Linked DNA regions of Xenopus tropicalis. The protein of the gene in region 1 interacts with the protein of each later gene in a biochemical or structural test. Links are inferred from orthologs where the notes say so. Each region holds a gene or a part of one and is shown on either strand. Other genes may lie near its edges.

Evidence for each region.
Region 2: the proteins of kdr (region 1) and shc2 form a complex in vitro, tested with the Homo sapiens proteins (2 studies listed by BioGRID). The link is inferred for Xenopus tropicalis from reciprocal best matches to the Homo sapiens genes KDR and SHC2.

What each region holds. Positions count from the first base shown.
Region 1 is NC_030677.2:40,279,560-40,282,401, reverse strand, and holds the end of kdr (vascular endothelial growth factor receptor 2), read left to right. Parts: coding exon 1-146; 3' UTR 147-2,027; downstream 2,028-2,842. UniProt on the Homo sapiens protein: Tyrosine-protein kinase that acts as a cell-surface receptor for VEGFA, VEGFC and VEGFD. Plays an essential role in the regulation of angiogenesis, vascular development, vascular permeability, and embryonic hematopoiesis.
Region 2 is NC_030677.2:105,548,265-105,552,728, reverse strand, and holds the start of shc2 (SHC-transforming protein 2), read left to right. Parts: upstream 1-1,364; 5' UTR 1,365-1,427; coding exon 1,428-1,973; intron 1,974-4,464. UniProt on the Homo sapiens protein: Signaling adapter that couples activated growth factor receptors to signaling pathway in neurons. Involved in the signal transduction pathways of neurotrophin-activated Trk receptors in cortical neurons.

The DNA.
Region 1 (2,842 bases):
AGTCGGGGTACCATTCTGATGACACGGAGGCAGCTACAGATTCTAATGAAAAGACACAACTACTCCAGAGAAATTCTTCATCAGACACTTGCCATACGGACATCATTCGACATGAAACGGTTCTCCAGTTAAGCACAGATGTTTAAACATGGAGGCAGGCTGGTGCCTTTCAATTTAAGAAGCTTTCCTAGGAGCTACAAACAAACTAGTCTTCCTGTGCACTACTCTTAATATTGTATTTCTTCAACTCCTTCCAGCAAGAGGCCAGAAGATATTAAGGACAAATGTATGCTTCTTTGGATCTACCCAGCAATAAGGAATAGATTCCAAATGACAATGCCTTAAACAAAGAATATATTTTTATATAATTTTGAGGGCAGAGTATGGATCTTCTGAAGCCATGATTCTTGTATGGACACCAAATGTCTGCTATTGCATTATGGGAGACTGAAAGAGTAACTGATAAAAATATTAAGACTCCTGATTCCCCTTCAGTACAGTGTTTAATGCAAGTCATGCCCTTGAACTAATCTTGGAAATATCAAATCTTGAGCTGTGAAAAACTGAGTTGCTGCTGCACTATTTCTACTACAGTTCTGTCTTGAAGACAAGAAAATCAAAGTCAATAATGTTATATGGTGTTATCATGGCTTCATATTAGGTCATGTTTTGTAAGAGAGACTTACAGTGTATTGACTACCAGTCATTTTAGAATACCAGTTATGGATTGGTATAGTTCCTGGATACTGGAGAGTGATGATAACAAGTGTAACTTGTGTGCTACATACAAACACATGAGCAATAGCAATTTTTTACCATTTGCCTTAATTATTTGACTCCTTTCTTTTACACAACTTGTATCATAGAATAATGAAATATTGTCCCTAGGCTGAAATGAAACAGATGAACAGTGGTTAATTTGTTGTTAAAATGTAGCATATATACTCCATCATTTTATATGATGATCTGGTGTTTTGGGGAATATTTATTATAATGTAGAATAGATGATAAACCTGCCATTATATCAAAGCTATATCAACAGTCATTATATCAAAGCTGTAAAATGAATATGTTATTTAATTACAGGACATTATAACAGTATTAACATTATTTTGTTTCACTTTTCTAGAAAGCATAGGGTTACCAGGTAGTTCCTACATCATTATGTATCAAGGCTAGCAAAACAATCCAGTGACAGAAATGCCTTACATTCTGAGGCTGATTTAGTTTTAATACATTCATTCAGCAGAGATGAAAGGAGACACAAACACCATTTTACATATTTATAGTCCATTGTAGTGAAAAGAAATGTAATATATAGTTATTTATATTAGTAAAAGGTTTTATATGTGTATATATAATGAACAGTTTTATAAACTTCTAATTTTATATTTTTTGTATAAAGTTTTCTAACTGAACCAATTAGCTGCCATATAGAATTTTATTTTAATTCATGAAAGTTTCGGTATGATGATGAAAAGATTTTTCAAACCTCGCTGTGTCTTAGATAAGCTATGCCTTATAAGATGTAATTTAGATGGGAGAGCCAGTCCCCAGCAGTTACTGAGCATCCCTCCCCCAGCCTGTTTGCCATGGTATTAGTTGAGGAACGCATGTTGGACATTTCTAATTTAAAAAGCACTCACTAAATGTCTTTTCTTGTTTTAAGAGATAATGACAATATTTTAAAATGACTGCACTTCCATTGAAAGGACCTGATACTATTAGTGATGGCAAATTTCAAAATTGCTCTCTTTTCCAGGGCTAGGGCAGCCTGAACTTCCAAGCCCAACAAGCTGAAGCTGTACTGCTGTGCCCTGCCATAGAGGAGAGCTGTTAGGTGCCCACTTCTAGTGCTCTTTAGTGGCTGCAGCCTATCAGTTAAGGAGGTCAGGACATTAGGTCCAGAGAATGGCACAGCAGAAATTTCATAAGAGTGTCAGTATCCCTTTAAATGTGTAAACTTGTTCTTGTATAATAGAAAGAATTTAAATCAAATATTAAACTGAGTATTTTTACAAGAAAAACAGTGTCTGGTTTTTAAGTCTTTGAGTTTTTTTTCCCTGGCAAGTATGACAGTCGTAGGCGCTGTCACTTGATACATAGGAGTAGAGTTGGGGCACAGTTGTAGTTGAGGTCGAAACTGAGGGTAACAGCATTTAGAGTAGAATGATATAATGAGTGCTCTGTAATGAGACTGCCCTTCCAGGTATTGCTGCCTGGGTCTCAATCTTAACCTTAAAATCGTGACTTTTTTCAAATCAACACAGAAGTTGCACATTCGGATTCAGTTCAGCATTTGGCTGAATCTCTCACAAAGGATTCAGGGATCCTAAAATGTTGCATTTGGTGCATCCCTACAGGATCCCTCTATATTACTGCACCCAAAACTGCTGCCTGGCCTGCTATTTTTCATCTTTATGAGACATTTTTTTAAACTCTGTTACCATTGGCATTCTGGTAGACTGTATAGAATGTAAAAATACTGGTTTATTAAAGAGACAGTAAAACCCCATTTTTCAACATAAGTGCAGTGAATAGGGCTTGGGCTGAGCATACTTTTTGCCTAATGTTTTAATACTAAAAATCAGTTTTTTGTTATATCTTAAGCTATCAGGGCTGAAGCTAATCCATGTGTGGTCCTTGCAAGATAGATCATTTGATTACAAGTGCACAGATCCTTGCCCTGTTTAGATAAAGAAAACAAATACCATATATTTTTTGTGATTAAAACAATAGGCAATAAATGTATGTTCATTGCACATATGCTGTACATGGGGGTATACTGCCCCTTTAACTAAATAAATGACTCCGTGACTCAGCCTTATGTGTGCCTGTTGAT
Region 2 (4,464 bases), about 65 Mb from region 1:
ACTATTTTATTATTATTATAGAATTAAAAAACTGAATTATATGATTACAATGGAGTCTATGGGAGAAGGCCTTCCAGTAATTAAGAGCTTTCTGGATAATGAGTTTCTTTATAACAGATCCCATACCAGTACAATAAGGTATGGAATACTGCCATGGGAAAACATATTTTTTTCAAAACGCATAAGTTAATAGAGCTTCTCCAGCAGAATCCTGCATTAAAAATCCTTTTTTCACAACACAAACATATTTTTTTATATTTAATTTTGAGATTTCACATGGGGCTAGCCATATTCTTTATTTCCCAGGGTGCTACAGCCATGTGACCTGTGCTCTGATAAACTTCAGTCACACTTTACTGCTGAGCTGCAAGTTGGAGTGATATCACCCCCCCCCCCAGCAGCCGATCAGCAGAACAATGGGATGGTAGCAAGATAGCAGCTCCCAGTAGATATCAGAATAGCACTCAATAGTAAAAAATCCAAGTTTGGCTTTGGACTCCTCCAGTTACTTGGGAGTAGGAGAAACAATAGGTTACCTGAAAGCAGTTCTAATGTGTAGCACTGGCTCTTTCTGAAAGCTCAGACTCAGGCACAATGAACTGAGATGGTTGCCTACACACCAATATTACAAGTAAAAAAAAATACATTTCTTGGTTCAAGAATAAAATTTTAAATGGTAGAGTGAATTATTTGGTATGTAAACAGTGTAATTTAGAAATAAAAAGTATACCATGAAAATCATGACGGTATCCCTTTAACTTTAAGTTAAAGTAGAAATGAAACTTAAAAATATACAATGTATTAACAACTTTCATACAAAGAGGGTATAGTTGTATATAACTTCTAAATAAAAATAGGGTATATTTGTATATCATTTCTAAATGAATCAGTTTCAAAACAAAACAAAATGTAAAAAAAATCCAGATATGCAGCTTTCTGTGAAAGGTAACTCTTTTGAATACACAGGCATGAGTTAATGTGCATCTAAGTTCATCTAATACTTACATCGTTTTGCTCATTGGACAGTAAGCTATATAAGCATCCTTTGCCACAAGTGTCTGTGGTACAGAATATTTCAGAGTAATGTGAATCAGACACAAGGAAAATGACATACATTGCAGTCCTAGTTTTACTTTGGATATCAGTGCACTCTGGGTCATTTTATAACATCACCATTAAAATAGCACTCGCTGTGGACCCTTATGGAGAGTGCTGGGGGGATGGTACCACAGCAGGTTCTGCTGACCTGAGCTGGGATGTTGTGTGTGGTGGGGGAGAAGGAGTAATATGAGAATGACATCATCTTGTGAGAGTGGATCCTCCCAAGGGAGAAGGGAAGAGAAGGAGGAGGGAAAGTGAGAGAGAAGGAAAGATTTAGAGAGGAGAGCAATCACTCTAAAAGCTCTGGATGGATCCCAGCACACGGCATGCTGGCTGAATCCAGGTATGACCGATTTCGCAACGACTCCATAACTTCGGCAGAGGAGCAACTAGCACTGTCAGCCGAGGCCATGAGTGGACAGGTGGCCCCTAGTTCTCCGACAGGAGCATCTGCCTTAGGCCAGCCTTTTGCAGAGCCGCAGTACCCAGAGGAGCAGGATGTGGCTACCACCTTCTGTATGATGATACCCAGGATGGGACAATGGAAATTCTCCAGCCCCACTGCCTTCCTGAGTCGTTCCCCCTCTGGAGGCAATAAGGAACTGACCGTTGACAAGTCTGGGACAGGAGGGGGATTAGGATCAGTGTTTGGAGCCTGTGACCCTGTATGCTCCACACCTTGTACTCTGCAGGTGATAAACCGGTTGCGAGGGGGTGGTAGTGGGGGAGCGCGAAAATCTGCACGGACAGAAGCATATAAAGTCCAAGGGGAGGAATGGAACCGTAAAGGGACATTTATTAACAAACCAGCTCAAGGCTGGCTGCACCCTGACGACCGACTGCAAGGCCCTGGCGTTTCCTATATTGTAAGGGTAAGTGGTCTTAGATGCAAGTAATTTATTTATATACTTTTTTATTTCCTGTTATTTATGTAGCGCCAACTCATTTCTGCAGTGCTTTACAGACATTATACAAAATTCACATCCGTCCCTGCGGATGAATTTACAATCTAAAGTCCCAATCACATTCACACACATATTATTATTAATTTAGTTAGAAGCCAGTCAACCTGCCTGTATGTTTTTGGAGTGTGGGAGGAAGCTGGAGTACCCAGAAGAAACCCACGCAGATATGGGGAGAACATACAGGTACAAACTCCTTACAGATAGTGCCCTAACTGGGATTGAACTCAGGACCCCAGCGCTGCAAGGCAGAAGTGCTACGTAATGATCATGATTTACTATATGATGAATTCCTCTTTGAAAGATTCCAAACGCATTAATCTAAAAAAACAAAAAGTGCTGTTCTTGAAAGAGCTTCCTGTTAGCTTTATAAGATCTAAGGGTATTTTGAAATATTGCTTTAAATCTGAGAAGAATATGTATAAACGGGTCATAGCCTTTCAATAACCAGATATAACTTCTCTCCTAAAAAGGCCCACAGGTTGCAGAGTGATACGCCCTAATGGTTTAATGTCTTTAGAGAACAGTGCTGGCGAGAGATGTTGTATTCTGCTTTCTGATTGACCCACTCTTCCATTCCTTGATTAGATTGGTAGAAATGCTGATGCAATGTTTTCTTCTTTGTTTTGCCTTTCATTGATTGGCTAAAGACTCCTTTGTTTTGAAAAGCCAAGGGTAGGGCTGCTGTCATACTGGAAGCTGTCATCAAAAACAGCTGTAGTATGAGCTCACAGACACAGCACACTAACAAAGTTGATACATCCAGCTGACCTATCTGTGATAGTGTCTGCCCGATAGGAACATAAAAACTCCTCTCTGTGCTTAAGTTTTTAAGGAAGGGGTTTCTCCTTTTTTGAACAAAAAATAATCACTGTATTAATGCACTTGATTAAGCCCTGCATGTAAAAGATAGATTTGTAGAGCTGTATTCAGTATTTAAACATAGTATGTGTGAGTTGTTTTGATTGGATGTCATAAATGATCTAGTATTTTAGATATGCAAGAAAATGCAGCTTTGTTCTACTCTATACCCTGCAAGAGTACATGGCATAAATTAGAAATGAAAAGTATAAGCAGATAAAAGCCATTGGTTTCAATATTTCAACACTTTTGCTGTGTAATGCAATTACCTAATTGTCTCTTTTACTGTCCTTTACTATTAGGTGCCAGCAGTTCTCACTGAAAGACAAATGATATAAAAACATATAAAAATAAATAAATAAAAAATACGGTCAAATCTCTGACATTTTCATAAGCACTAATTTAGGTGGAAATATGTAAACATCATTTTTATTTATACTTATTTACATTTTATTGAATTTATCACTAACCATATTTTTTATATTTTAGTTTTATAGTTTTTTAACAAATTAAAAGTTGTTCATGATAGATAGATAGATAGATAGATACATACATACATAGAGCGTAGGCTGAAATGTATAAAATAGATACAAAGATAGATAGAATGATAGATGATAGATAGATAGATAGATAGATAGATAGATAGATAGCATGTAGAGTGTAGGCATGAAATGTATAAAATAGATACAAAGATAGATAGAATGATAGATGATAGATAGATAGAGAGATAGATAGATAGATAGATAGATAGATAGATAGATAGATGTGGAGTGTAGGCATCAATGTACAATCATGTACAGCAGTGCAAACCAATAACTAGTGCAGAGTCAGTGCTGTTAGCCAAACAATAGTGGGCCAGTTATCCAAAATACCTGGGCTGTGGAGCAACATCCAGGAGATTGGTGAGCAACATGTTGCTCACGAGCCACTGACTGGGGATGCTGGTCTAGGTAATAAAAAAAGGTGTTCCTTATATAAATGTAAGGAATAGAATGTGATGTTTCAGTATATAATACACTCTTACTTCATCTACATATGTGCACTGGTGAATTCACACGTGTATAAAACACAAGACCTGTGAATAAGCTGTTTCTAAACAGTGCTTATCGATATCTTCAGTTATAATATGTGATCAATAATATCACTATCACTAGTATTGCACATTATATTGGGGGGAAGGATACCTAGAATTGTGTGGCAAAAACTCACCATGTCTTTCAAAGATTGTGGACTGGGACTTCCAATCTATATTTATACTACTTAACTTTCCTACTTCATTATGTTGGATGGTGGTTTGACCTGGACCTGTACAATCCCAAAACAACATTGCAGGTGTTGACAGGTGGATCACTAGAGAGACTCAGACAACACCCATATAGGGCAATTTCTAACCTCCCAAGGTTCCCTGCAGTGACAGTGCCCCTGTTGAAAGCATGGGTACATGCACTTCATCATTTACTAAAGTGTTCTGTATTAACTCTTTATTCTCCCACTTTTACTACTATACTAACTTTTTCTAGTGGCCATGCAAACAGATGAA